4 linked regions of the Rhinolophus ferrumequinum genome follow. The protein of the gene in region 1 binds, or shares a complex with, the protein of each later gene. Links are inferred from orthologs where the notes say so. Each region holds a gene or a part of one and is shown in the gene's direction. Other genes may lie near its edges.

What was found.
Region 2: the proteins of STRN3 (region 1) and SIKE1 are in contact, whole or in part, in a crystal structure (PDB 6AKL), measured with the Homo sapiens proteins. The link is inferred for Rhinolophus ferrumequinum from reciprocal best matches to the Homo sapiens genes STRN3 and SIKE1. Residues at the interface, in NP_001077362.1 of Homo sapiens: Arg176, Leu179, Tyr182, Leu183, Val186, Tyr188; in NP_079349.2 of Homo sapiens: Glu96, His97, Ala100, Leu103, Ile104, Ser106, Lys107.
Region 3: STRN3 (region 1) and STRIP2 share a complex: the UniProt entries of both Homo sapiens proteins name them as parts of the core of STRIPAK complex. The link is inferred for Rhinolophus ferrumequinum from reciprocal best matches to the Homo sapiens genes STRN3 and STRIP2.
Region 4: STRN3 (region 1) and PDCD10 share a complex: the UniProt entries of both Homo sapiens proteins name them as parts of the core of STRIPAK complex. The link is inferred for Rhinolophus ferrumequinum from reciprocal best matches to the Homo sapiens genes STRN3 and PDCD10.

What each region holds. Positions count from the first base shown.
Region 1 is NC_046289.1:80,003,773-80,011,444, reverse strand, and holds the start of STRN3 (striatin-3), read left to right. Parts: upstream 1-4,262; 5' UTR 4,263-4,564; coding exon 4,565-4,846; intron 4,847-4,964; exon of another isoform or gene 4,965-5,277; intron 5,278-7,672. UniProt on the Homo sapiens protein: Calmodulin-binding scaffolding protein which is the center of the striatin-interacting phosphatase and kinase (STRIPAK) complexes.
Region 2 is NC_046305.1:45,449,312-45,456,955, reverse strand, and holds the start of SIKE1 (suppressor of IKBKE 1), read left to right. Parts: upstream 1-4,403; 5' UTR 4,404-4,466; coding exon 4,467-4,625; intron 4,626-4,868; coding exon 4,869-4,974; intron 4,975-5,867; coding exon 5,868-6,010; intron 6,011-7,189; coding exon 7,190-7,303; intron 7,304-7,644.
Region 3 is NC_046309.1:16,878,861-16,886,768, reverse strand, and holds the start of STRIP2 (striatin-interacting protein 2), read left to right. Parts: upstream 1-4,476; 5' UTR 4,477-4,514; coding exon 4,515-4,649; intron 4,650-7,908. UniProt on the Homo sapiens protein: Plays a role in the regulation of cell morphology and cytoskeletal organization. Required in the control of cell shape. Calmodulin-binding scaffolding protein which is the center of the striatin-interacting phosphatase and kinase (STRIPAK) complexes.
Region 4 is NC_046285.1:74,137,400-74,145,030, forward strand, and holds the start of PDCD10 (programmed cell death protein 10), read left to right. Parts: upstream 1-4,487; 5' UTR 4,488-4,639; intron 4,640-7,631. UniProt on the Homo sapiens protein: Promotes cell proliferation. Modulates apoptotic pathways. Increases mitogen-activated protein kinase activity and STK26 activity. Important for cell migration, and for normal structure and assembly of the Golgi complex.

The sequences.
Region 1 (7,672 bases):
TAGATACCTGATCTTATTTGGCAGGTCAAACCATGGTGCCGGTCAAAGCTGCCTCCTCCTTTTCTGTTCCATCTGCATTATACAGTTTGCTTCTTTGGTTTTGGAACACATGCCAGCTCTTCTCAAAGATCTTTTTCTGGGCTCTTATATTCATTTGTTCTCTATATTTATACATGTAAATACTACGTCATTTCCCCAAGTGACTGAATCACCTCAAAACTACCTAAAAAGGATTTCAAAAGTGCAAATGATGTGGTGATCACTGCATAAGGTATATAAACGTCTAATCACTATGTTGGATACCTGAAACTAATATAATATTGTATGTCAACTATAACTAAAAAACAAATTTTAACAGACAAAAAAATCAGAAATGAAAAAGTGCATATAATATGGGAACCAGAGAAAGCAATATTGAGCCCATTGACAGTAGGAGGCAGAATAGTGAAGGGAGCCTTTATTTCTTGTTTGCAAATACACATATACACTCAGCGATGTAAGAGTCGGAACCACTTCTTAGTCTACTGGGGAACTATGGAAGTGACCCAGAACTCTTATCTCAGCTTTCTCTCCTTCCTATGGAGATAATACTTGTTATAACTTTTTCAGATGATGCAAAAAGATGACTAGATTAGTGTTTCTGAACCAGTTTGAGCTCTTTGTTAGAAGTCAGCAAGGTATAAAACTGGATATTCAGGTGAGTGATTACAGGCCACTATATAGTTCTCAAAGGCAGAGGCAGAACTTTGCACATCAGGTACTATATAAAATTGAGAAGAAGACATTTGAGTGTTGACTATTTTGAACTTATTTAAAAGCCTGGAATTCCTTAACATACCTTGATATAGGACATGATATAGGACATGTACATGATATAGGACAAGTCCCTTTTTGGTCAGATAGAGTGAGCACACAGGTGTCTAGGATTAGATAATGAGGAAGAAAAAAAAACCACCCTAAAATTCCAAACTGATTAAAGATAGAAGCAGCATTCACGAAGATCATCAGTAGTATATTAAAACTGAGAGAATCAATGGGCATGGAGGAGGAATGAACAGACAGATGAAAGGACAGAACAAATACTAGGAAGTTTCAAAGATGACATTGAAGAGAGGAAATGACTCAGCCACAGTTTAGGGAGGAAGTTCCAGTTAGGTGAGCTGTAGGTGATAATATGGCCTGGGGAAGCTCATTACCTACAGAAGACAAGATTCTAGGAGCTCACTGTAGAGTGTCCTCAGGAGTCATAGACACAAAGCACAACGTCAATAATGTAAAAAATATTTTCTCATCTGAAACTAATATAATATTGTATGTCAACAATAATTGAAAAATTTAAAAAAATAATTAAAAAAATTCTCTCTACAGAGTAGAAAATACTGGTGTTCTTTAGTTTTAATACTCAGTTCTGGTCATTGAACCTTAAGTGATAACTGCTATAATGTTAGCAAAAACTAAGAAAAAATGGTTGAGGGGAAGGAAAAATATTTATATTAGTCTAGTCTAATTTTAAGTTATTCATCAAACATTTATTGGGATCTCACTGTCCCAGACCCTGGAGGTACAGCTGTGAACAAGAGGATCCTGCAGATAAATGACTATGATCTGGGAAGAACATGGCGAAGGATTACACTGACATTAATAAAACCGTGGTTAAAGTGAATGTAGACATGTTCAAACTGGAATTCTTCAAATAGGGAGCACACTTGAAATTTTAAAAGAAATGATTTTAAGACGGATCTGGACAGATATTAAGAAAGCTATGGTGGTTGGTGCTAAGTAATTTGCCTAAAACTAGACTGGAAATCCTATGAGAGTAGAGATTATGTCCTTGGTTCACAATGGACCATCAGGGACTAGGAGTGTATCTGAAAAATAGTAGCCAGTCAAGAAATCTTTAAAAAAAAATAAATGAGTGAAGCAAAGATTTGCAGTACCTGTTATGTGCAGGTCTTGCTTTCACAGTGATCAGGATGAGTGTCACTGACCAGTACATAGACAATTTGAATACAGTGTAATATGTACTAGGAGCTAAGCATGTGATACTATTAGGATGGGGTCTCTAAATAATTCAAGGATTTGGAAAGCTTGGAGGAAGTAATACTTGAGTTAGGTTTTGAAGGAAAAAGGTAAGGAAAGGCCATGGGGCACAGCATGTGTTAAAGTCCTGTGGAATGAAACATTACTATACATTTGAGGAACCAAAAACAGTGCAGTTTGGCCGGAAAGGAGAATGGGGTGCCATGATGGTGTGATGGTAGATTAGGCGGTAGGGAGTATCTAGAATTTGAAGGACCTTTATACACTAGGTTAAAATTTGAGCGTTATTCTAAATTTGGTGATCACTAAACTATTTTAAGTAGGGAATGACAGGATCAGATTTGCCTTTTGAAGATGACTCTGACATCAGTGGCATGAGAGACAGGGGAAGGATAAAGGTGGGAAGCCTTAACCTAAGACACTGAATGAAGATAATGGAATAGATATGAAAGAGGTTGGATGTGGGGGCTGAGTTAAAGGTACTAGAATGACTGCCAGGCCTCAGGTTTGAATGTAGTGTCACTTAATGAGATAGATAACAGAAGAGGAGCAGTTTTTGTTTTTGAAGGTGAATGCGGAGGGAAAAAAAGGATTATAAATCCAGTCTTTACTTGAGCTTGAGGTGCCCGTGGGAAATATAAGTGTGCATGTCTGCTTCTGTTGATGCCACATCCTCTCACAAATGTTTCTAGTATGTAGGTTTTGAGGTAGCATGGGATTTCTGAACTTTTATGTGCTATGAGGCCCCTCAAAAAGGAACAGGACTGAATAAGCAGGTTGTATGTTGGTCCCTACAAAATGTTGAAATAGTACTTTAACAATGGGGAGAAGTAGTTCTTAATAATACGGAGAAATAATTCTTGATAATACTGTGACCTTACACCTAATTTCGTATCATGGATGACAAGTCCAATTTGCCTTTCATTAAACTGTAACAGTACAGCAGATATGACAGAATAAGATGTACTACTTTATCTCTTTGAAATTATACCCTGACTGGTCATATATATTCCATAGAGAAAACTTTCTTTGTAGTAGAGAAGAAAAAAAAAATAATGTAATCCATTTTATATGCAAGTTTCCTGCATAGCTGTAATTACTAAACCTCTTTTCCTTATTATGTTGTTAAGTATTATTTTTGTGCTATTTTTCAGCCAAATGGTTATTAGCTATATTAACTTTTAGAAACTTACTAGTTCATTAAGGATGTTTCCTGGCAACTTAAGCACATAAAAACACCATGGTACTTAAAAGATTAACCTTGACTTTTATGTATTACATTCACTCAGACATTTAATGACCCAAGAAAATATCTTTAGTCATTCATCTAGGATTCTAAGTTGTATTCACAATGCTTTCATTTATTTCCATCAAGAGATTCTGCTATGAATGATAACACTCGCAAGGTTCATTCACTTCTAAAACATCAAATTGTTAGTCTCAACAGTCTCCTTCAAAGTTATCTTTCTCCTACCCACCATCTAAAGATCTAAACTTTTTCATTACCTCCCCTCCTCTCAAGAAAAAAAAGAAAAACAATCGCTCCTGCTCTCCTCCCAAATCCCCAAGGCACAACCCAACCCAGAATCATAAAGAAGAGGGGAGGCAAAGTGGAACAAGTTGCGACCGGCGACCGGGAGGACAGAATTGGGACCAAAGCCGGGGCTCGAAACGGAGACGGGGAATCATTCACCACGTCCGGAAGGATCTGGGCTATTTGCCACAAGAGAACGTCCCTAAAGTCCCGGAAACTAGCCGGAGCTAAGAACTAGAGAAAGAGCGAGTGACAGGCAGAGAAAGAGGTCCGACCCTCTGGGACTGCCTGAAACACGCTAGGAATGCAAAAGAAACGTCAGGAATCCGGGACTGGCAGTGGCGGGCCAGAGCGATCAGCCAGGTTAAAACCCAGCTCCAAAGGCAGGCACGTCGCTGATACCCTCGGGTGGAGAACGGCGCCTAGGGGCTGATTGAACGAGGGAAACTGATTACTGGGAAGCCAGAAACCGACTCGCTTCCAAAAGTTGGAGTCAGTGGCCCACTATCCGGTACCCTCCGCTTGACACCCGGAGCGAGTCGGGGGGCGGGCCTAGGGGCGGGGCCGGAGCTCCTTCCCCGCCTCTAACGGCAACCTTGACGGCGTCCTCAGTGCGCCTGCGTAGGGTGAGGCCGGACTGTATTTGGCTACTAGGCTTGCAGCAGCAGCGGCGTTCTCTACCCGGCATGCTGCGCGGGAGCGACGGCCCTACGTCTATCCCCTTCCCAACCCTGCCCTCTCTCCCCGCCTCCCGCCGCGTCCCCCCCTTTCCCTAAAGTGAGTGAGTGAGACGGGCAGATGGAGGAGGGACTGTAATGGCGGCGGCCGGCAGCTCCCTGCTCTGACCCACGGCAGGCATACAGCAACCACCCCCTCCCCGCCCCACTCCCAGCCGGCCTCCGCCCCGCCACTAGCGCGGGGCCACCCTCCCCGGCCCTTCCCCCAGCCGTCGGCGTCTCGCCCTGAGCCCCGGCCGGGGCCCCACACACAATGGACGAGCTCGCCGGAGGCGGTGGTGGCGGCCCGGGGATGGCGGCCCCTCCACGGCAGCAGCAGGGACCTGGGGGGAATATGAGCCTTTCGCCAGGGGGGAATGGAGCGGCGGGCAGCGGGGGTCTTCCGGCTGCCGAAGGAGCGGGTCCTGCGGCAGGCCCCGAGCTGTCCCGGCCGCAGCAGTACACTATCCCGGGGATCCTGCACTACATCCAGCACGAGTGGGCTCGGTTCGAGATGGAGCGGGCGCACTGGGAGGTGGAGCGGGCCGAATTGCAGGTACCTCGCTGGGGTCGGTGTGTGGGACGGCTGCGGCCGCGGGGTTCCCGGTGGGGGGGTGGGGCCGGGACTTCCCTCAGTGGGAACCCGCGGCCTTGGGAAGACTAGAGGGACCTACCTGTGTGGCTCGGGGCGCGTTGGACCTGGCCACGGCGCTTCCTAGAGTCCTCCTTCCCCTTTCCCGCAGAAGCTTGTTCCCCAAGCCTCACTAGCTGCGCGGTGCGGGCTTCCTAGGGGCAGCCATTTTGGCTTTTAGTATGGCGTCTGCGGGGGCTCCTTCGGAGGCGGCCTGCCCGGGCCTCCGGGGCTTGGGGCTGAGCTCCTCTCTGTGGGATAGTTCGGCGTGGGGCTGCTGGACACCGAGCTTGCTCTTGTTTGTGCCTCTTGAGATGGAGAACTCGGGGAGAGGGACTGGGATGGGCGTTTTACCACCTTTTCCCGGATCACCCCTCTTTCCGATTTGGCACGTCTGGCCCCCTCCTCTGGAGTTGGTACGCACTTGCCCCTTGACAGCCACGCTTCTTTCCAGGGCTACTACCAAGCACAATGGCTCGCCGCTGAACTGTGAAGTTTTTTCATTTCCTACCTCCAACTTTACCTTCTTACCTGGGATGCTGCCGTAATCACTTTAGATTCCCAGTCAGTTCTTTAGCGACTGACTCAGCAAGCCTTCTCCAGACATACCTCGGCGATATTGCGGTTTATTCCCAGACCGCCGCAATAAAGCGAATAGCAATCTTTTGCTTGTGCAGGGTCTTGCCTTCGATTTGTAAAAAAAAAAAAAAAAAAATGCAGCATCTGTGACGCGCAATAATGCGAAAAATCGCAATAAAACGAGGTATGCCTGTACTGAGTGTTTCGTTTTAGGGTACCCTTCAGGAGGCCTCCCCCTCCTCCACCCCCATTTTTACCCATAAAAAGCCAAACTAGACTTAGCTGTGTTGTCTTTGTGAAACGACTGAGAAAAGATTTAATGTTAGCTGGAAGTGAAACGAACGTGTCTCACGTTACTAACTCTGAGGGGAAGCAAAGTTAAAGATCCTCAGGACCCTTCACAATTAAGCCTGACTTGATCCTCCTAAGGAGAAACTTGGAGAGGCTGGTTTAACTAACTTTTGGAAGATATTGGTAGTTTGAGGGTTCATGTCTTGTATTTCAGAATCTTTTTAAAAGGATTGTTCAACTTTTTTTGGTATTTGTGTTTATTTTTGAATCCTTTCCAGGTCAAATTTAGGCTTAGAAGAAAAAAAGCGTGGATCTAAGTAGTGTCGCACCTGTTTTTCAGACTGATGTATATTTAGAATATAAGCAGTATTGCTAGCTGACATATATGTCATATATGCCTACAGTAAATAGTTAGGAAAATGTGTGTAAAGAAGGAATATTGGATTAATTTAGAAAGGATGTCCTTCAACAAATGTATAACTCTTCAGTTTGATTTTGAACTGGTAAACTTTTATTTGACTCCATAAAGTGGCCAAAGTTAAACTTTTAAAAAGTGAGAATACTTATATATTTTGACACTATCAAGTCGAGAAAAAAATAATTATAAATTAACACCTGTTAGTCGAATCAGTATTTTAGAATTGTGCTTTGATGTACTACTGGCCTTTTAAAAATGTAACTTTCCAAAAGCTTAAGTCAAAATTGTCTTATTTCTTTTAACTTGTGTATAGTCTGCTTTAACATATTTGGGATTTGTAGAGTTCTGTTGATATACAGCTTTCTACTACACCATGTTACAAACAATATTCTGTGTGAATGAAGATAGTAAAGCATTTATTTTTAAAAATTGCATGTGCAAATGCATTGAGGCTTGGGCTCACTAAATAATACTTCACCAGTCCCCGATACATGTTTATAACCTTTGTACTGTTGTACGAAAGCTTGGATTATACAATTTTAAGTTTGCAATTGCATTAGTCATTCATAAGCTTCACTAATGTAAGTAGCTGAGAAAATGTCTTTTGTCTAAATTAGTAAAATATATACATTAATAAGGTCTATATTGTCTGCCCTCCCTCTTGCTTTCCTTACTCTCTCCTTGACAGTAACAGAAAAGTCTTTTAAGGGAGATTTCTTTTACTTGTTTGCTTTCAGTTGATCAACTATTGACATATTTGTTCTGATATATAGCCATTCTAAGTGTTTTGTTTCTTTGCTTATTTTGAAGAAGTTCTACAGTGTTTTTAAACTCTTAATTTGTTCCAGGGATTTTCATTATTTCATACTGATTGTTTTGGAATAAAATGTTCATGATTGTGTTTATGTGTTTCTGTTTTATATATTTCTCGGCAATGTTTTATTGGGTTACTTAGGATGGTTTCAGATTTGCTTCTGGAATATTAAATTTACTTTAGGTGCGGTCAGTCTTTAGTAAGATTGCTTGTGCACATTTAAAAATGCATGTGTTGAATAAAAATTTATTGGGCGGGTTTAAAGAAGCATCAGTAGATCTAAACTGTAAACTTATTTTTAAGAAAGATGAAAAGTAAGACAGCTTACATGTTGTATATGTAAGCCTTGGGTGCAGTGGTCATCTACACATATATTTAAAGCACTCAATATTGAAACTGTTCAGTAATGGAATAGGAAGAGGCTAAGGTATATCAAGTTTGATGTAAAATTTCAATATGGAAGCATGTTTTTCCTGGTTTTCTAAAGGACTTTAAATTGGAACTTTGCAGTATGGTTTTTTCTGTAAAAGGAATTTGGGGTGAAAGTCTGTCTGAGAAACTTGGAAATAAACCAAAGGATCATGTCCTAAAGCTCTTTTTATCTTTGTGATGGCTCCTTACTTTGGACTGAAGTTAGTAAGGCTCTAGT
Region 2 (7,644 bases), on another chromosome or scaffold:
TTACAAATGCAAAGATCTTTTTTTTCAAGTAAGGTCATTCACAGATACCAGGAGTTACGGCTCGGACATATCTTTTCGTGGGGCACAGTTCAACCCACAACCAAGTGTATTTAAATCTTTTAGAAAATAGGGATGTCAATTTAAATATTATTACCAGGGCATTAAGTTAAGTAAGACAACCAATCAGAATTACAGACTTTGTAGATATTAAAGTTTACTTTTATAGGCTACAGCAACAATATCTAAAGTCAGAGTGCCTCTTAATTAGAATTAACATTCACATGGAAAATTTTATAATACAAACTAATATCTGCTTTTCTGACATGCTAGAAGACTAAACATTTCTCCCTATCTTGTTGAGATTTCTTTCACCATAATTATGAGGGTCTGTGGTTTTTCAAGGCTGAGTCCTAGAAAGCCATTAGTTAGCAGCAACAGGAAAAAATAGGTCTGAGAGTTCAAAACTCACCATGTAGAAAGAAAAAGGAGCAAAATAGGGTATTTAATAAATGCAATATGGGACATATATGTGTGGACAATCACTGAAAGAAGCCATGGGGGTACAAGGGGTCAGGTAAAGTCGAATATCTCTGCCCTTGTCTCTGTTGTGGACCATTGAAACCACCATCTGCTCCCAGAGCCCTGTGTTCTCATACCTCTGAGCAGAGTTTCTCAGGTTCAGGGAAAGGAGTAAGTCTGTTACCTGTCTGTGTGGTGTGGCTACAGCAATGGGCATGGTACTAGAAGAGGTATTTCTAGAAAAATGTCCAAGTGTCTCCCTCCCTAGAGTTCATGTAAGTGTGTAGGAGTCACATTTGGCATTTGGATCATCGGAGGATCACTGGGCTAAGGTGTATACTCTGAGAGAGGCACAAGTAGAACTGCTGATAGGGCCATCTGAGAGCTGAGAATAAAGGGAGGGAGACCCAAAATCACTTCCTGACCCAAAAGAGTAAGAGTGAAATAATAAAGAGGAAATGGAACCGAGAAACAGGAGCCAGACAGAAATTAGGTCAGAATGGAAATAAGTCAGAACAAGCAAAAGAGGTCTTGGGCAGTTTGTGTAATACCCATAAACAGCACTAGAAGTGCCTGAGCTTATCTTATTGGTTTATTGATGGGTGGGATGCAGAAGTATTGGGATGGCTTGAAAGTTACAGGTCCCTTCAATTTCATGTTTCCCCATCTCGAATCCATATTTATATCTATCCTTTTTATTTTCTTTCGAATTAAGGAGAATGAAATGTTTCTTATTCTATTCAAATCCAGATTCTTCAGCCCACCATCCTAATAAATAATCAACAAAGGTCTATTAAATAGCTATTGTGTCCCTTCTCTTCCCTCAAATGTCCCCTACTCTCTTGTATCTGTTTCTTTTTTTTATATAAGATTTTATTGGGGAAGGGGAATAGGACTTTTATTGGGGAACAGTGTGTACTTCCAGGACTTTTTTCCAACACAAGTTTGTTGTCCTTTCAATCTTAGTTGTGGAGGGCGCAGCTCAGCTCCAGGTCCAGTTGCCATTGCTAGTTGCAGGGGGCGCAGCCCACCATCCCTTGCGGGAATCAAGGAATCGAACTGGCAACCTTGTGAGAGGACGCGCTCCAACCAACTGAGCCATCTGGGAGCTCAGGGGCAGCTCAGCTCAAGGTGCCATGTTCAATCTTAATTGCAGGGGGCTCTGCCCACCATCCCTTGCGGGACTCAAGGAATTGAACTGGCAACCTTGTGGTTGAGAGCCCACTGGCCCATGTGGGAATCGAACTAGCAGCCTTCGGAGTTAGAAGCACGGAGCTCTAACCGCCTGAGCCACCGGGCCGGCCCTTGTATCTCTTTCTTGATTGGATCCTTCCTCTATAAAGCCTATAAGCATGCTCAAGACTTGTTCATAAAAACAAAATAAAAAACATAAACAAGAACCCTCTCTTATTTCTGTATCCCCTTTTAACCACTACTAGAATCATTGGATTGGTCAAGGGTTAGAGTTAACTGCTTGCATTTGGCTTAAAAAGAGAGGTGCAAAGAAATTAGGGATGTTAGAAAGACAATGGTTCTGACCGCCAATCATAAGAGCCCAGTCTGGTCAGGGAAAGAAAATTAGACCACAAGAAAAGAGTCTGAAATATATGGTGATGGAAGGAGAACTGACTCTAGGTGGTGAACACACAATGGGATTTATAGATGATGCAATACAGAATTGTACACCTGAAATCTATGCAACTTTACTAACAATTGTCACCCCAATAAACTTTAATTAAAAAAGAAAGAAAAGAGTCTGATAGGTAGGGGGAATATTGATATATTCAGAAATCGGAGAGCTGGATGATGTCAGAGATAGTAGTGGAATAAAGGGTTGCAAGAACTAGACAGGTTGAAACAAAGGCTGTGGTCAAAGAATTAGATGGTAAAGCTTAACATTTCTGATGAGGAACAATTTTTGGTAAATGATCAAGGGTTTGGCCATAGGTAACCGAAAAAAAAAATTGAATGTCTCTAGAACTGAGGGGGCTGAGGAAGGATAGAACATTAGATGAATTGTCCCCATGGACATGAATGTCATCCAAGGTGAGAACCACACATGGATTAATCAAAAAGACTATAAGCCAACTCCTGAAATCTTCTATGAATGAAGGGGAATATTCAAGGTAGAAGGTTAATCATTGGTAGTCAGAAGGAGAGATAGAAGATTCTTCAGCTGGATGATACAAACTTTAAATAATGTGGAGGTTTTACATCGCAAGTAAGAGTAATTGTTTATCAGTGTCACTGGGGAATTAGTATGACCCGTCTTGCTCTGTCTTAATGTGGGTGGTACATAGAAAGATAATTGCCTGCCACTGAAAGGGCAGCAAGGGGTTGTGCTAGAGCTGTGGAGATGACTTGAGGTAGGGAGAAGACCAGCTGGAAGACTGTGGCTTCATCTGGGTGAGTAGCAGTGAAAATACAAAGAAGGAAATATCTCCCAAAGATATAAAAGAGATAGGTTGCTTTGGTAACTGATTAGTGTAAAGAATTCGTAGGAAGAGTAAGGGATGACTTCCAGGATTCTGTTTTGAGCAAATAGGTGTATAAATGTGCTCTTTACTGAAACAGGAGAAGGAACAGGTTTAGAAGCAAAGATAATGCTGTATTTCCAGACACTAAACAGTTCCTGAAAAGAAGGCTCTCCAAAAATATTTACTAAAGTAATGAATGAAAAAGAACAAAGTTTGACGTACAAGCTTGACAAGGTAAACTCATAAACCATTATAACAAGCAGCACAAAAGTCATTGCTCTTCTGGTTAAATTTATCCTCAAGTTATTAATTGAATTAAAATAGAAGATATAGGCAAACAGAAAACAATGACTCCATCTCACACCCATTAAGATGACTATCAAATAACAACAACAACAACAACAAAAAAAAAACTCAGAAAATAGTGTGGAGGAAAAACCGAAAATAGCAAGGATGTAGAGAAATTGGAACCACTAAGCACTGTTGGTGAAAATGTCAAATGGTGCAGCCACTGTGGAAAACATTATGGTCATTCCTCAAAATTTTTAAAATAAGAATTATCATATGACCCAACAATTCCACTTCAGTGTACACACCCAAAAGAATTGAAAGCAGGGACTCAAACAGATATTTGTACGCCCATGTTCGTAACAGCATTATTCACAGTAGCCAAAATGTGGAAGCAACCCAAATATCTATCAATGGATGAATAAACAAAATGTGAGATAGATAGATATATTCAGCCCTAAAAAGATAGGAAATTTTTTTGTGACATGGATGGATGAACCTTGAGGACATTATGCTAAGTGAAATAAGCCAGTCACAAAATGACAAATGTGATTTGTATGTTTCCACTTACATGAGGTACCCAAAGTAGTCACATTCATAGAGACAGAAAGTAGAATAGAGGTTGCCAGGGGTTGAGAGGAGGGCCAAATAGGGAGTTAATGTTTAATGGCTACAGAGTTCCAGTTTTGCAAGATGAAAAGATTTCTGGAGAAAAATAGATGGTGGTGATAGTGGCACATGGTGAATACAGTTAATACTGTCGAGCTGTACATTTAAAAAATGGTTAAGATGATAAATTTTAGGTGTATTTGACCACGATTTTTCAAAAACTAAATGGGGGGAAAAAAGATGACTTAATAAGAATCCACATCTATCAAAAACCAATAGGGAAAGTAGAAACTGGGACCGCCCAGCTAAAACTCCACCACCAGGCTGTGGGAACAGGAAACCAAGGGCGTGGCGAGGGCAGGCCTCAGGCTCTGCCAAGGGCGGGGCCCAGGGAAGCCACTGAGGAAAGGGTCCTTGGAGGAGTAGGATGCCACCGCGCAGGCGCATCTCACGGCTGCCCCGGCGCCTTTTAAGCGTACCCGGAAGTGACGTTATTGCCGCTGAGACAGGTGGGGGAGGAGCCGAGCGGTTCGCTTAGGGGAGCAGCGCTGGAGCTGTGGTCCCGCGGCCGCTATGAGCTGCACCATCGAGAAGATCCTGACAGACGCTAAGACGCTGCTGGAGAGGCTGCGGGAGCACGATGCGGCCGCCGAGTCGCTGGTGGATCAGTCGGCGGCGCTGCACCGGCGGGTAGCGGCTATGCGGGAGGCGGGCACAGCGCTTCCGGACCAGGTCAGGCAGAGGGTAGGGACGGGTCCGTGTTCTCAGGTTCTGGGCACTTGACAGGTGGAAGGCGAGGTCGAGTGGGAACTTGGCCTGGAATGTCTTCTGTCTGGTCTCAGAGGGCGGCGGTGAGAGCTTCCTGCGGGGTCGGGGATGAGAATGCTGCGCCGGAGCCCTGACTCCTGCCTCTTAGGTTCCTGCATCTGCGGCTGTTCTGTTGACGGCGCGCTTCGTCTGTCTCTGTTTGTCCAGTATCAAGAGGATGCATCCGATATAAAGGACATGTCCAAATACAAACCTCACATTCTGCTGTCCCAAGAGAATACACAGATTAGAGACTTGCAGCAGGAAAACAGAGGTTAGTCAGTCCTTTTTGTGGAGTTACTATGATTTTGTTATATCCGGTAATAATTCAAAAGTTCTTGCAAACCTGCCGACCTGTTCACAAACGTGCACACGCTGTATGTACTTCCAGGTCACTACTTTTAATAAGAGCGTTACCCTGTGCTGGCCCGGTAACAATAAAGTTTGTTACATTACTCTTTTCAAGGTTGTCCGACTCATTTTATTTGTAGGCAGCTTATCAAAGAGGTGCTTAGCAGAGTTGAATTGTTGCGTGGCTTTATTTAGGCCTCCCCAGTTGGAGGCTTGCACAACAAAAGAATTAATATCCTCAAGGGATTAAAATTCAATGTTTAAATATTAATTGAAATAAGTACTAAAATTAAGATCGAAGGTATTTTTAATGTTCTTGTGCAAGGTGGGAGAGCTGAATTTTTTACTTTAGGGAATGTATTCTTGGTCTGGATGAGTACGTTATTAATGACTGTGAATAGTCATTTGTATACTCGTTTACAGAGGGTTTCCACATAGGTCATCCCATTGTATTCTTGTATCTTCATTTTGAGTTCAAACAAGCTGGTATTATTACAATGCAGATAAGAAATAGGTTCAAAGAGGTTAAGTGATTTGCTTAAGAGCATTAAGCTAGTAACTCACAGAACTGAACTCAAGCCCATGCCTTCTGATTCTGTATCCCATGTTTCTACCAAACTATGCTGCCTCTGCCTAGAAAGTTTTGTTTCACATAGACCTTAACTGTTGAGTTTTGTGGAGCTGAACACTGATTTACAACTTTGGAGTAACAACAGCTCATGGAGTGCCATACAATTCCAACTGGTAAGAATTTGGCTTGGCTTTGAGAGCTATCTTTCAGGCATCACTGCCAAGTTATTTCATTTTTTGATATAGAGCTATGGGTTTCCTTGGAGGAACACCAGGATGCTTTGGAACTCATCATGAGCAAGTACCGGAAACAGATGTTACAATTAATGGTTGCTAAAAAAGCTGTGGATGCTGAACCAGTCCTGAAAGCTCACCAGTCTCACTCTGCTGTAAGTCACTTTGAGGAGTAAATTCTCAGTGAACTGAAAATTGAAATCTTGGAATTGTTTTCGATTGTGTGCTTGCTTCTGAAGAAAAGTTAGTGTGTTTTCCTTTCGTGTTTATTAGATTCGCTGTTGATTTTGCTATAGCTGTGTCAAGATATGAATAGAAAGAAGGAGGTGAGGGGCTGCTCAAGTCCTTTTATTTGAGTAGGACCAAGGTTCCTCCTTCCCTCACCAAGATCTCTTTCCAAGATGTTGATGAATGCTTAGTTCTTCCACCAAACATAATGCCAGTTAGTGTTGAAGGTGCTGAGTAAATACTTGATGGGTTATTACTGCACATTTCACTACACTGTAAACTCCTTGGCTGTAAGAAGTATGAATTCATCTTTTATCCCTAACATAGTACCTGGCACATAGCAGGCAGTCAGTAAACCTTTATTAAACTGAGCTACCGAGCACACTCTTGTTAAGAGAGAGAAGTATGGTTTAAAAATACATACATGGTATAGTTTCTACACTTTGGTTGTTCATAACTTAATTTGGGAGACCCAGTAATTGTTCTTCTGTCTGTAGAGTGCTTCATAGTTGTCATTGTGTATTCACATGTACTAAATCATTTAATCCTGGCTTAATAGAATGGTGCCTCACTATTTGCTACAGTGGAATTTATGAAAAGTTTTCTTAGGTTCTACTGAAAACATTTTACTGACTTAACAAAAGTCTTAGGGAACAGGGATGTTTTAAATATGTTTATGGCTTTCATCTAGAAGAGAAAAATAAACTTTATTTTCTTTAGACTAGAGGAGAAAACTTGAACCTTGAAGGACACAGAATTTAGCTCATGAAAGACTTTCTAAGAGATAAGTACATAGACAGAATAAGGTACCTTAGAATATGCAGAGCTTGCCAATATTCTAATTTAAGTTAAACAGCCAGTTAAGAGATATTGTCCAACATCCAGTGGGTGGTTAGACTAGAATTGATCTTTTGAAAACAAATTATTTGTGAATACCACAAGATAACTTGATCATGGCTTCACCTCTGAGGACTCAGTGAAACTCCTGTGTAACCTGTAGCATAATTCAATGAACTTTTTAACATCGTATTGCACATGTTCTCATGAACTTCCTATCTGTAGGAAAGATGACTTTTTCACCTTTTTTTGTGTTAATATCTTCCCAGGAAATTGAGAGTCAGATTGACAGAATCTGTGAAATGGGAGAAGTGATGAGGAAAGCAGTTCAGGTGGATGATGACCAATTTTGTAAGATTCAGGAAAAACTAGCCCAATTAGAGGTAAGATTATTGCTGTTTTGAATTCACAATATTTCATGGAGTTTTCATAGAGCCTGGAAGGTATACCATTACTATCTTATCATTGCAATGTATTGATGTTTTCTGTGTGCTCATGATTTAAAATTAAAACTCCTCCTCCATACCCTTTTCAAAAAAGGAAATATAATCAGTGGCAAACAATGAAAATGCCAACTATGTATTGGCTAGAAATTGAAATATTATCAGATCAAGAGGGTAGAGAGAATGGAAGGGACAGATTACATGTGAACTAAAATCCCTCATCTGCCATAAAAGGAAATTCACTAGATAATGTCTAAAATTGATGATCAGGAAATAGCAGT
Region 3 (7,908 bases), on another chromosome or scaffold:
AGGTTGCCATTGTTGCTGCCCATGGTGAGGTATTTGCCTCTGCGTTTTGGATGACTTCTTTCTTTCTGGGAACCCTGTATCATCAACCATTAAGAACAAGGAGGCCCAGGCTTCCTGAGTATTTGGGTTCTACCTTAGTATTGGCATTTGATCATTATTTCCTCTAACCCTTGGAATCAGAACAAATATGTCTTCTTCTCTCAAGCTCTCACCTTAGATGCATCCTAGGTATCTGGAAGCATGGGAAATAAGTCCAATTATCTCTTTGTGGCCCTGGCTTTACCATTTTCCCTATGATGAATTTGTGCTAGTTTTCAAGGTCTTTTTGTGCCTTTCTAATGGAACCATTGTTTTCTTTTTCTCATTATTAAAAAAAAAAGTTATCTGCTCTACCTTCCTTTTGCCCTCCTACCTCTTCATTCTTCCCTCCCATGTGAGCAAGGCTCCCCATGGCCACATACTCCTGCAAAGCTTTTTTGCTGCTTGTCTTTTCTCTGAACAGATCTGAAATTGCTGCTCCCGTGGATTTTTTTTTCAAAATTAACTTTGTCATGGTTTTAAAAAAGAAATCAAAATGCATTGTTGCATTAAGCTTTTTTTAATAAAGGAAAATTATGGAAAGAAAATAGGCAACACCAGCAAATTATATGTGGACAAGTTCTAAACTATATATACATACATATATACATATATATACTATATAAAATAATCATCTAGTTCTCATTGTCATCTTACTGAAAGGAAATAAAACCTCTTAAGGATCACCATTTCTGAGAGGCTCTTGGAAATCGTTATGTCTAAGTGATTGTATTAGATCAGCAATAATGACGATGTAATCTCAAAAGATAAATAAAATATTCTTAAAATGCATCCCTGTCTTGAGAGTATTCCTTGCTTCTGTGAACTAGGAATTCAGAGATGAGAAAGGTTTCAGAGCAACAGGCTAGAGAGGCGACTGTAGGGCAAGGATGTGAAAAGTTGCAGGAGTTACCAATAGACATGTTTGGCCTCAGCCTTGTAAGAGTCCCTTATTTCACGAATAAATATCACCGTGACCCCCAGTTATGTGTATACAGAACCTGCTTTCTCAGCACTACCACCCCGGGGAGTTGAGAAATATGGGCTTACGGCAGAGAAACTAAAGCCTGTTTCTAGGTTCCCCAAGCCCTCTCATGGAGAGGTATTGCCCTTTGCTAGAGAGTACAGAAGAAGCTAGCATCCCACCGTTTGGGACCAAACAACTCTGCCACCCAGGACCTGACAACATCCAACCAAAAGGAAGAAAGACCTGAATCTAGCAGAGATTTGTCTCTAAGTCAGGTTTTGCCCGACTAACTCGGTAACCAGAGCATGAATCCAACTGCCTGTTCTTTCTCAACTACCAGTAGAGTAGCCATTTTCAAGTAGCTTACTGACAGCCAGTTACTTTAGTTGACATCTTGAACTAGTTCTACAACCTGTTTCCAAGATGTTTTCTTATTGCCCCCACCCATGTCCTTGATGAGGAAAGGAGGGTGTTCTATCCTTTTTCTGCTTTATTCTGGCTGCCCGATATCCTAAAAAACTAGATATTTGAAGACTTCCTTCATCTTATTTTTAAGCTTTCTCAGTGCCAGGAGTTACCTATTTAATCACATATCTGACCGTGGATTAGAGTGGAGTGATTATATGGGGAAAGGGGTATGTTTGGTTCGATTTATACCTTCAGCCCTCTGCCAGCAGCCTCAGGAAATCTTGAGTTTTGGGATAAGGGAAAGTGGTAGTGTAGGTTTAAAAATAACTCAGCACTGGAGCCATCTCTGCAAGATGGAAAAACTTGTAGACCAGCCCTAATTAGCTCCCAGGTATATTTATGGGTATCTCTGTGGTCAGTGGTACTGCTAACTGTCACTTCTTTGTTGACAAATAAGCGAAAAGAAATTGAGTGTGTGCCAACTCCATGGCCTGTAGTTTCAAAGTTTTCAGTTAATCTGTGCTTTCTTGTCACTTCTTCCAAGAATTGTTTCCGGATATCTTCCTCCTTTATGACAACGTCGGCCTCCTCTGAACATTGGCCTACAATGATCAGATAGATGTCTGATCTTTACTGTCTCCCATTCCACTGGGTGTAGAAAAAATAATGGTTGAGGTCTCTCATGTTGATTCTTTGCAATCTCCTTAGCACCAATTTTTCAAATCCCGTCTCTGAAAGTAGAGCCAGATGGAGCTCTAGGCTCAGCAAACAGTTGTACATAGTTTTACTTCGCTGAAACTGCTAGTGCAGGACCTGAGAGCTGTCCTTAATCCTATTCCCAACTGAAGATCACTCAGCTCCCTTTGCCCCAGGGGTAGGCTGGAAAAGGAGCAAAGCCTCAAAAATAACCACTCCTGTTCGCCACCACTGTTGGGGATCCTGCTGATTGACTAGGCTCACAAAAGGGAACATGAAGTTCTGGGTCTGTCACTCCTAGAACTCTGGCTGCTTAGGAGGGGAGATTGGGAAGAGGGTAGGTAGAATAATTCTTTTATTAAGAAACCACAATGGGCTGTGCTGGGGCAGGTTCACCACACTGAAGCAGTGATGAGCTAGGTGTAGGTTGTGAATTTTAAAGCAGAGTATGAATCTTTAATAAGAGTTTAACAAATTATACCCTGAAAACATTCCAAAATCAAATAGTTTAGGCCTTGAGCCAGGGACTTTCTTGGAAATTCTTATCAATTCAATTCTGTTAAACCAGTGGGTCTCAATCCCTGGGGACATTTTGCAATATCTGGAGACATTTTTGATTGTCACACTAGGGGAAGGGTACTATTGGTAACTAGTGAGGAGAGGCCAGGGATTCTGTTAAACCTCCCACAATGCAAGGCACAACCCCCCACAACCAATAATTTTTCAGTTAATAGTATAGAAACCCTGTGTTAAACATACATAAATGAGGCATTCGAAAATGAACAAAACTTGGCCCTACTCTCAAGGAGCTTAGATCCAGGTTGGGCTAAGAGAGGTAGGAAAGCCAAAATGCTGGGAGGGTACAGTAAAGAGATGTGGAAGACCCAGGAGAGAAAGAAACTCAGAAAGCTCCAAGGAGTGCCTGCTCTCTCAACTCTGCCTTGATCTGTCACTGACTAGCAGAGGAAAGTGTGAGGGAGAGACACGGTTAAGAAAGGGACAGAGTTGTACCTAAGACATAACAAGGGGGAGTCATTCCTTTTGGCTCCTTACTTTGGGAATGTCATAGGAAATACAAGGATTTTGGATCCAGGCAGACTTGGCTTGACACCAACACAGCCTGAGTGGGTTGAAGAGGGTCAAAAGGAAGGCTTTCTGGAGGAGGAGGTGATGACTAAATAGAATTTTAAAGAAGAATAGAAGTCAGTCAAGATTAGAACAGAAAGTTTCTTCCAGAGGGAGAAAATAGGGCATGTGGAAGACACTGAGACAAGACGGAACATGATACCTTGAGAACTGCAAGGAGTACCTCCCGGTTTCCTCATCAGCAACAACGATTCTTCCGCAACCTAGGGGCGAGAGGTGTGATATACCTAGAAAGTGCCTGGTGCAATGCCTGGAACAAAGTGGCAGTTCAATCCCCGCAGGTCCCAGGATTCCCCTCAGGCTACTTGTTTAGGGTTACTGTTACCAACCTAGACAGCCTAAACATTTACTGCTTTTTAGATAAATTCTGAGTGGGCAGGTCACACAGCCTCGTTCGCCCCAGGTAACACTGAGCCCTTAAGAAGGATCTTAGAAGAATGAAGAAAAGGACTGAGGAGCAGGTGGGGACGGGGGCGTGCTCTCCATTCAACATCTATTCCCTAGCTCACACCATGAGGAAGGTGCCCACTTCCGCAGAAAAAAGCAGATGACCGGGAGCAGCCTTGAAAGGCACTAGCAGTTTCAGCGAAGTAAAACGTCCCCACCTTCCCCCTCAACCCCTAGTCTCCCAACCAAACTTCACTCCTGAGGGATGAGTTCTCTACAGAAATCTCCGCTTTCTGTGAGGGCGAGTCCCTCCTTTCCTCAGGTGTCCCTGGCCCCCCGGCAGTGCCATCCCTCCCCTGCGACGGAAGCAGGATTCGGGACACTTGCAGGAGCCGGGATTCGAGGGCAGAGGTCTGTGGTAATGGGGAAACGGTGACTGCAGTGGAGCAGGAGGGAGAGACAGAGCTCCCCACAAAAGGTCTAGTCTTTATTTGGGAGGGGTTGAATGCTGAGGGACACCGAGTGAAAAGCAGAGGCCCAGAATTCGGAAGGTGGAGCTGGGAGCCAACTCGGGAGTCTACTGCTACCAGCAACGCCGCAGGACTGAAAAAAAAAAAAGACCAGGAAAAAAAATCCCTTGAATGAGCCCCCACCTCCTCCAAGTCTCGCTCCGAGTGGTCGAACAGCCAATCGTGCCGCGGGGCGGGGCTGCGGGAGGCGACTGCAGCCAATAACCGTGGAGGGGGCGGGGCTTAGCTGGCGGCGCGGGGCGGCAGGGTCGCCCCGGGCAGAGAGCGCTGAGCAGCTGAAGGGAGCCGCTGACCAGAGTGGCATGGAGGACCCTGCGGCATCGGGGGCCGGGAGTCAGCCCGCCAATGGCAACGGCAACGGCAACGGCGGCGGCAAAGGGAAGCAGGCGGCGCCTAAGGGCCGAGAAGCATTCAGAAGCCAGCGGCGGGAGTCGGAGGTGAGGAGCCCGGAGAGCTTAAACAGGGGCCGGGAGGCGCCGGCAGGCGGGAAGCGGTGGCTGAGGTGATTTGGCCCCGTCTCCCTCCCCGCCTGGACCCCCGGGCGCGCCCCGGGTTGCCCCTGGGAGCGGGCGCCTGCGGAGTCCGCCGTCTGGACTCTGGGCTGTGCAGCCCCTGACCGCTCTGCACCCGTCTCCTGCGGCGGGTCTGGGGCTTTCTAGCCTTCTGGCCTCCGCTCCGGGGGCGCAAGCTATAGCTCCACAGCGAGCGTACCAGATACTTGTCAAATATTTATCCCACTAGTCGCTGCAGCTCCTTGAAGTGGGAATTGGTATCTTCGATTTCCCGAGGAGGAAACCAGCGCGGGGAGATTGACTGACTGGCCTGAGGGGTGGGAGGCCGGAGCTCCGCCGCAGTGAAGAGGGGCGTGCGTGGGGGGCAGCCGCTCTCCCACCCTAAGGCTCCCCCAGCCGATCCAGCTGTGCCGCGCGCCTTCTGCCCTCCCCGCTCCCTCCTACCCCGTCCCCCAGGGCTGGCAGGCGCTTTAGGGAGCCCCTTCCACCGACATCAGGACCCCCACCTGCAAGGGTTAATGAGATAGGATCAGGCGGGGGCAGGACTGGAGCGAGTGGATGGAAGTGTCCCAGGAAGCAAACCCACAGATAGGAGTATGAGTGTTCGGGTGGCTTCCTCTTCTGAAAAGAAATCCTAACCAGGAGGATGAAAGGAGCGGATTATCATCACTCCTCCACCCCCTCATCCAGCCAGTCTCCATCAGCTCGTCCAGAGTAGAACTGGATCTGACGGGGGACCAGGAAAATAGACCACAAAAATGTAAGGTGTCTTGAAGATCAGCTGGGTTTAACCCTGTCTTTTCCAGAAGTAAAAGAGACCGAAGTGACTGGCCCAAGACCGTACATCTGGCATAGTGGCCAGGAGCACCAAGCTTTGGAGTCAGCCCACCAGGTTTTGAATCCCAGCCCTACCATTTACTCTCTGGATGGCATTTGGCAAATTGCCAAACCTCTAGAAGCTCCAGTTTCTTCATCTGTAAAATGAGGTTAACATTATCTGCCTCAGGAGGTTGTGATAAAGTCTAAGAGAGATAATTGAATGTAAAATGTTTAATTCGGCGCAGGCACAGTGCAGGTAATGGGTCAGTGCAGAGTAGCTCTTAGGACTTCCTGTATCGTCATCACCATCATCAAGGGGCAGAGCTGGTACTAGAGGCCAGGTCTTCGGCTTCCCAGTCCAGGGTTTACCATTTGAATAGTATTTCACAGTTTCCAAAGGGATTTCATGTGTGCTTTCCATTTTGATACAGACGAGTAGGAATCCACACCATTTTTAAAAAGAGAAGTGGAGGAGGTGAAAAGACTGGCTCCAAATCATACCACCTTTCAGAGGCATAACTCAGCCCTCCTTCCTGCTAGATCAGGCAGGGGACCAGCTGGCCTTTTAGGGGACCCTGTGCCTCCTTCCCCCCTAGAGACATTGTTCTTGCTCAGATGTTTTATTGGGAGGATGAGTCATTCATTAATTCAGCAATTATTGAGACTTTCTATACGCACAGCACTGTTTTAGGTGCTAGGGATACAATGATGAACAAGATAAGGTCTTTGACCTGTGGAGCTAATGTTCTAGTGGGGGGTGGAGAGAGAGGCAATACGCAAGTAAATAAAATAATTTCAGAATGAGATGTTCTATGGGGGAATTAAAACTCCTCTTGAGGTCGGAGGCCTTGTGCCTACCTATCAAGTCTGCCTTCAGGAAAAGGCACCTACGTACTTGACCTTGCCAGTGAGGTCAGTATCTGGAGACTCAGAGCTTTCCACCTGCATCGCAGTTTACCTCCTGATTGTCTGCAGCTGCACTTTTCATGCTTGGAAATGAACAACTGCAGTGATCCTCTCTCTCTGGGCTCAGTGCCTGCTGAAAGGTTGGCTGGAAAGATTAGCTTTCCTCCACCTTGCTCTGCAGCAGGAGAGCTGCTTCTACCTGTCAGTGCATCCCCTGTTACCACAATACTCAGGTGCCAGGCTCAGATGCCTATCTGCTTTTCCTTCCCGCCCTCCTTTTGCTTTCCTGGGGAAAGATCGTCCTCAGGGGAGATGGTTTTCTTTCCTCTCTAGGGCTTCTAGAGAATTACTGTTGGCACCAGTCAAGAGAGGCTCCTTGGACAGCACTCTTGACCTATTCTCTCCCAATGCCTTAGTGTATGAACTTCCAAGCTAAAAATGAAGCTACAGAATAATTGTTTGCTTAATAAACAGATCCTTAACCTACTAAGTTCACCTCAGGCCTCTACCAGCCAGATTCCCTGGTTTAATTGGTTCCCAAAGTCCTTGACAAAGTTTGTGGCAAAATGAGGAAAATTCAGGGCATTAAAGTGAGTTTTTCATAAAATATAGTTCAGTACATTAAATGTAAAGGATGTATGCAATTTAAAACAGTGTTTTTCTTTTTTTATTAAATTTATTGGGTGACAACGGTTAGTAAAATTACATAGGTTTCAAGTGTACATTTCTATAATACACATTGTGTGCTCACTCAGAGAACAGTGTTTTTCAAACTGTAGCGGGTAACCTGTGAGTTGAGACCGTTTTTTTAAGAAATAGAATAATAGAAAACATCAGTGCATCACATACAGTAATGGTAAATATATTTTGTTTAACTTTGTTTGTGTGTGTGTGTGTGTGTGTGTGTGTGTGTGTGTGTGTATTGGGACATGATGTGAAATTTATTTATACTGTGATTTACAGTCAAAAAAGGTTTGAAGAACACTGCTTTTTAATGATTCTTTTATTCTGATAGTGTGTCCTTCCCATTTTGGGGGTATTAAACTGTTCTTTCTTTTTTGAAATATATTTTTTAAAAGATTTTTTGAGTCTGTACTTACCAGAATAAAACATCCACAACCTTATGTCATTCCCCCCCTCCACCTTTTTTTCTTACTGGTCTCTGTAATGCAAAAGTTTGAAAATTCTTGCTATCGTGGATTTAAACATGATTTGCCTTATAGGCAATGTAAATTGATAAAGTGGTTTTAAAAAACAACTTGTCATGTACAAAAAGCCATATAAATATTCATAGGGTTTGATGCATTACCTTCCTTTATAAGAATCTATCCTCAGGAAAGATCCTAAATATGAAAAAAAATTTAATCTTATTACAGCTTCATGCATATAGTAAAGAAAAATCAAAAACTAAATGTTCAACAGTAGAGAACTGGTTAAATAAACAAACAGATGTCTTTCC
Region 4 (7,631 bases), on another chromosome or scaffold:
AATGGTGGTGAGGCACACACACGCTACCCTCGTTGTAAAATGCAGACCCTACAGTGCCACTGGTGGGAGAGCCTTTTCCCTCACCCATATTCCCTATGCTTGGGATGAATTTAGAAACACTGGCAGACAAAGTTGTAGATAAGTCTTTTTGCAGCCCACACTGTCTGAATCAAACTGAGTTCAATCGACAGTTTTGCAAAAGCTAACCAGCACAAAGATATTCTCAGTAGGCCTAAGGTATAGTAATTATTCTGTGAGGTCAACTGACTCTTGTCTATCAAAGTGCAAGATGTCTCAATGCATACATTAAAGAAGTACCGGTTAATGGTTCTAACTCAGTAAGTGGTTATAGGGCTACTTCTTTATGCTGAGCATGATATAAGGTGCTCAGAACCAGCAGGACACAGAAAAAAATTATAGTCTCCAGGAGCTAATAATCTAGCTACTTAAAATACAACAAACTTGAGGGACTTAATTCTGAAAACATCAGAGGTAAGATTGAAAACAGTACAAAAATAACTCCTTACCTTTGTATAATAATTAATCCTGATCCCCAAAGCAGTGTTTAACCTTAGGCATTTGCTTTAAAGGTGCGGGGGTGGGGTGGGGTGGGGTGGCTATTGCTCAGTTTTAGGGTCTGGCTCAATTACCTCTGTTATTAAGGAGCAAAACATCATTTTAGGTTTTTATTTCTTTTCAGTGGTATGTCCAAATAATAGTTAAGTTTAATTAGAAGTAACTGTATGCATGCACAATCTTTTCAGCTTTGCTTCAATAACCTATGATTATTTAAAATCTCATGAATCACTATCAGTCTGACTCCAGTTAAAATGATATAGGAAAGTACTGTATCATTATGGATATAGGCCTTTAGAAATTAATGAGTGGGGTGGAGGGAGGGAAAACCATGGAATTGCTTACAGGCATTTAACAAAACAAAGATCTAATCTCTTTTTTCTCTTGCTAAGGATATCTTTCCCAGTTTTCTTCATAACTATCCCCACTTGTAAACCACCTACCCCACCCCATCCCACCAAAACCTTTTGATCTGATCCTGAACCTAAAGTGCTGCATGCATCAGTGAATCCTCTTGTTAGAGAAATCCATGCTACTCAATAGGCTTAAGAGTCAAAATTTTAAATAAAAAGAAGCCCAAAATATATTTTGTAATTTGAAATTAACCAAATCCTTTGGCTAAAGAACATTAATCCCAAGAGTATCTTCCATTCAAGAGAGAAATTCTGCACTTCCTTGGTTTTTCTTTTTCATCCTGTCATATATTCATTCACTGATAGCCATACACAAATAGTAAAAATCAGGAGAATAAATATGCTTTTAACCTAAGCAGTGCTTTACATAAAATTATAAACTGTCACATAATAAACCTTCTCCACACCAGGAACATACACTCAAGAAGTCTTCAGATTATCTGATTTAATGTGAACATCAATTTAAAATGTGTCATGAGTTCAAGGTAACAAATACTCAAGTATCATATATTGCTAATGATTTTCTCCCTTATAAAAACATGATCTTCTACTGTCAAATGATATAGGAACCTAATCTCTTACATTGACAAAATAAAAAGGATTCAAATCTTGGAAACAAGCACAAACTCATTCATTCCTACTGATACTCTATCTTATCCCATATTCTATCAGAGTAGACCTATAAATAGTTGGGATCAAAACACATCTGAATTTCAAGTTTGATGTTTATTTTCAATCCCATTTATTTATTAACCAATCTCCAACCAAACTCTTTCAAAAAGATCTTTTAATAAAGGCTCTGAAAGAACTTCATTGCCAGTGTTATTATTATTATTATTACAGGGGAGAAATAAGCCAGTGACAGCAAATGTTCAATTTCACAAAATGAATCAACAGCAGAGCCTGAGAGAGAATCTAAGACAGATTCAGTACAATCTACTCAATCACAAATAATAAGGGTAAAGAATCTTTTCCAAGCCTCAGTACACCCTAGCCCCATTTATCCCCCTACAATCATTTTCACAGGGTCCTATCAGCTACATGGATTAAAAGACTCTCCAGTGATGTAGCAAAGATAAAATGGGATCCTTACCATGGCTGCTAAGTTTAGTGGCTACTGTGGCTTTTCTTTCTTCTAAGGTCTCTGCTGCTTCTACTACTTACCTGATCTGCTTGGGGACAATCTAAAAGCCAGTTTTTTCCCCTAAGATCTGTCAGTCTATATATTTCTCCGGTGGTGTGGAAGGGGCTCCAGAGGGGAGGGGTAAATACACTGATAAGTCACTTGGGCTTATCAGTAGTAGCACTCAGTAGGAATGAACTTTAAGCTATGAATAGAATTTCTTCCAGCCATTTATTTTCAAAAACGAATTTTTGTGTACCTTACAGAAATAAAATCCAAAAATCCTAAGTAAATCAGGAAAACGTGAAAACAAGAAACAGAAGGTAATTACTCCATTTTATTGACCCTCATTGAAAAAAATCCAGATTAAAGTACTCAGGCAGACTCTGAAATATACAACTGTCAAAATGAAAGCATTTCAGAGCAAAATGTGCTGCAATATGCTACTATGATTAAAAGCTATGTAATCTGGGGAACCTCTGTAACAAGAAGAAAAAGAACTAGGCAAATTGCTTTTTACATACTTTCTAAAAAGAAAAGGCTGTGATTTTGTCATTGTTACATCAAGGTACATGCGGCTTTCATCTTTACCTCCTATTGAAACATATTTTCATCCATAGGTATTTAATTACAGTCAAAGAAATGAAACATGGTTTAATATCAACCGTAAAGTATTATTTTATACTACTAACTGTGTTTTAAGTCTGAATCCATCATAACACATACTAAGGGTGATCAATTAGTACATTCTCTCTAAACTGAAAAGATCCTAGCACTGCTCTTCTTGTACTTTTGTTTTTTAAAATGTACAAATATTAACAGACACCAATGAGACGCTAAGGAGCACCGATGTACATATAGTACATACACCATATGTTCCTACTGTATAGGCTGAGTCTTGGTCTTTGTTCCAACATCTAGAGCCACTGGAAAGAAAGCTAAGTATCCATTTATTAAAACACATTTTTACATTATTGCTGGCAAAAGTTATACTTTTGATAGGTTCAGTCATGTTGATTATTCCTGCCTGGATTTGCTTCTTTAACACAGATCTCTTTCAATTCTAGGAACCTGCCGTACAACCACCCTAGAAAACAGGTCGGTAGCATGATAATCTGATTAAACAACATAAAGCGTAGGTAGACATTGAAGAATGCAAAGTTATTTTTTTAGGGAGAGTTCTGAAGTCATTCTGTTCCATGACATTCTTTTTTTTCCTGCCAGCTACGCACCTATCCTGATAGCATCCTTGTTCTCAATTAGCAGGGTTTTTCCTTCAATCCCAGAACAGTTTTCATGGTACAACTCATACCAAAAACACTAACCACGCCCTTTATACCCAAGTCAAGCACCTTTTCCTTTTTCCCCCTTCAAAGTCTAAAACTGTACATTTTACCTAAAAGGGTTTGCACCAGTTCTCTAACGCGAGTCAGACTCTTTTAAGCTGTGCCTTGATATAATTCCTACTGGAAGACGCTTTCTCTCGGGCAGTGTGCGGACGCCAGAAGAGGCACCCGCGCTTACCTCCCACACACCTGCAACCCCTGGCGGGATGCGGGAGCTGATGCTCCGAGGATTGCGCTCCGCTCCGCTCCTCCTGCTCTCTTCTCTCCCGGGAAACTACAGTCCGGGCTGCGCCTTCAGCTGCTACAGGGACCCAAGCTCCGCCTCCCCCTCCTCTAGTTGGTGAATTCGGCAGCTGTTGCTCCTCCCCCTGCTGGAGGCGGTGGGAAGCTGCTACCCCGGTTATCTTCCCGCTCCCTGCACTTTTGCAGCTGTTCTGCCACTTCCCTTTCCCTGGGGAACCCTCTCTCGTTCCCTGGCCTCACACCTGGAGCTGCCTCCCGCCCCGCCCTGGCGCCTTCGAGAGAAGCCCAGGCTCAATCTAGCCCTCCTCGACCCGCAGGTCTGGTCGCCTGGTGTGCCTGGGGCTCGGAAGGTTTCGGGGAAGCAGCTCCTCCCGCCCGGGCGCATCCCCACACCGCGCCCTCTCTCCACCCCGGCGATTCCCCCGGTGCTCCCTCTCCGTCCGCGCAGCGTCCACAGATCAGCCTTTCCAAGTTCCCTACTTAGAACTCCCCCCCACACTTGACCCCCTTCCTTCCTCTGGTCCGCTAGACCGCCCCCACAAAGGGTGAGTTGCCGCGGGGCCGACCATGCACTCTGATTGGCGCAGGTGAGAGTTGACCCCTCCCTTCCTCCTCTTTCCGTGCATCCTCTCTCTTCATTTCACCTCCTCCCGCAGAGGCAGGGAACTCTCTTACTATTGGCTAAAAGTGTCCCCACCCATCGCCTTTGGCTCCACCGTACTGTCTGCCGGGAATTGTAGTCTTGTATGTGCAGCAATTGCCGAAGACGTCAGTGAGTGAGACTACGAGTCCCCATAGGTCCCTGCGCGACTCCGGCTGGGCAGGATTCCGGACAACGCCTGGTTCCTCTCGGGTCCTTCCGGCGTCGCCGGAGTGAATTGATCCGGGAGTTGAAGAGGGCTCCAGGGTGGGAAGTGAAGTGAGTGCCTCAGTTACCGGTAAGGTGTGGCTGTTCTGTCCAAGTCTCTGTAGCCCCGGGCGGAGCAGAAGAGGTTTGGGCTTACTCCGGGGCCCTGACTGAGGCGCTGGGGCTTGGTTCTGGCAGGCGGAGCCGACGGGGCTGGGAACGGGGCCCTATGGGCGTAAGCGAGGTTACCCTACGCGAGTGGCGTAAAACGGGTTTGTAAATGCCGCCTGCCCTGCTCGGGCCTGAACGCCTCCAGGAAGTCTCCTCTAGGTGGGGGCGGGAGGGGAAGGGCGAGGTTGGCCTCTTGTAGCCCCGGAGACGGGAGAAGGCGGATGTGTCTGGGGTGGGGTCCTCTAAAGGTGTGGCTTGGGAGGGGAGGTGAGACTGCTGTTTCCCCCCTCTTTAGAAGTAGGGTGGGGAAGGAGTGGGGAAAGGAGAGGGCGTTGGGAGTCTTCTCTTAGAGTGACTCAGGTTATACCCTCTGAGGAAAGAGGAGAACTGTAAAAAAGAGTCAAATGTTGACAGAGACCTACAGATTCAGTTCCATTTTCATGATGTGGCCCCTCTAAGGAGGTAATTTTGCCCTAAGCAGAAAACCTTACCCCTCTTAGATGTAAATTGTTAAGCTACGTTTGTACACCTTTACTGTTTTCAAAGAGCATTCACTTTGGGATGCTGATGGGGAAACGGAGGGGATAAATGAGGTGCCCAAGGTCACACACGTAGAGACAGATCTTCTGATTCCAATCCAGTTGTAGCCCAGACTGAATCATAGTTGCTGCACCAGAAAGAAAGAGTTGATTATGTTTTTTGAAGAGGGTGGAGGAAGTTGCAAAGTAATGCATTTTATGTAATTCTAAGAGTGCGTTTGTAAGGTGAAGACTTTTTGAACTGGGGAGAAATTCCTGAATAAAAGAAGGACACACACTAAACTTTTGGAAAAATAAGGAATAAAGAATCGACTTCAACTTACATATTTTTTCTTTTGTTACGGGTATATTAAATGATGGACTGTACTACCACTTTAAATAGTAGATAATGATATAGGAGAATGTCAGTTAAACAGTATATCCCATCCTTACAGTTAGAAGATAGTCTTTTCCTAACTTAGGAATGTTTTTACTCATTTTATAAAACTAACAACAGTGGGATTGGAATTCTTTCACAAAACTTATTTTGCACTTTTTTCAAATAATGCAGCATTGAGAGACTTTAGTGTACGTACGCTTTACTAGAAAAAAAGATAAGTTGCATTTTTTGCAGGTAAGATCACATTTTGTTGATTTTTATTTACGTTTCCCCTTCTTTCTTGGTTCTGGGATGTTTGTGTGTGTAAATAGCAATAGGCTTTTACATATTTTTCTTAGTGTCATCTGTTATTTTTAACACATCATTGTACATTAAAGAATGAAAAAATAGGACATTTTGTTTTATATTGTGCAGAAAGCGTACTTGTTTCAGTCCTATCCTATATAATGGTTACTATGACCAATTATAGCTCCTGAATATTATTGGATAGTTCTTTAATATAATTTTGGAGTATATTCATTGACATGAGGATTTCTTCATAGTAAGTTTATAAATAAGAATTAGGTATCTACAGATAGCCGGTAATCAATCATGGCTTACTGTTATATAAGTTGACCCTTGAAATACACTGCAATTTGTATGTATTCTGCATTTATTACTTTCTGAGTGCACAGTTTCTAGAATCAGAGATTTTAACATTTCCCAATGACTGAAGTTAAGATGGTCTGGACATTAATATGACCTTTAAAATAGAAGGGAGGTATGGTACTATAGAATGAAGTAAAATCAGGCATAATATGGTACCATGAATAATGGTACCAGACAGCAAGGAAGAGCAACTAAACAAATGGAAAATTATCGGGGGATAATTGGCTTTGTGCTATATTAAAATGGTGAGATAGTTTTGACCATAAACATTAGACAGTGACAGTAAAGCAAGAATGTCAATGTATTTTCTAGATGGTAGAGTAGGCATTTGCTTTTTATTGGGGGAAGTGTGAAATGAGTTCTAACTTTTCACATGCAGGTAAGAGGTTGTGGAATGAGCTTTTGAACTAAAAATTGGGAAGATTTGGAAATAAGTGCAATTAATATAATGCACTTGTTCAGAATGTGTAAGTGTTTATCCTTGGTTCAGTTCTATCACTAACTTCTCTTTTCGGAGTTCCATTATAGTTATACTATTTCACCTACGTTGCAGTGGTGGAATAATGTTTCTATTGTATTTATCATCTTTCAGTCACATGCAGGGGTGCTGTGGTCATTTTGGATATCTGCACTTTGAATAATTTAGAGTTCACAGAATTATGTGTACACTTGTATTTTTATAGTAGTTTGAAGTTTACCAATGTCTACATTCTCATTTTGGGTTTTGTAGGAGCCTTGTGTCAGCCTTTGGACATCATCTCTTACGGGACTTAGGATGTCTCCCATATACATCTATCTCTTTCTCTTTAAGGATATAAGGTCATAAAAACAGGACTGTATTAATGTATTCCCAGTAGGTACAACAGTGAGTACCTGCTCACAAAGAGAATGTAGAGGTTCAGAGTGGTTAAGTGCAAGGTCATGTAACTGGTCACAGGTGATGAAGGTATAATCTACGTCGTCTTATTGCAAAGCTTGAATATTGTAGACTTAGTTCCCTTAGATTGTTTATTTTATAAGAAAAAAGATTTAAAATGACTTCAATACTCAAATACTATTATCCTCTTACTCTTTGTACTGACAATTTATCTTTTGACTCCTATCCAGCTCTCCATCCTTATTCCCAGCCTTTTTCATTTACTGTGCCTTTTAGTTACTGTATACATAAATTTCTTCCTGACTTGGAAGTTTTTGTACATGTTCTATTGCCCATGTCTGGACTGCTTCCCCTCCCCTTCCCAATTCTGGCCAACTCCTAGTTAATTTTCAAGTCTCAGTTTAAATGTCATTCATCAGGGAACTTTTGCTGACCTCTTTGACCTATCCTTCCTAAAATTAGAGTAAGT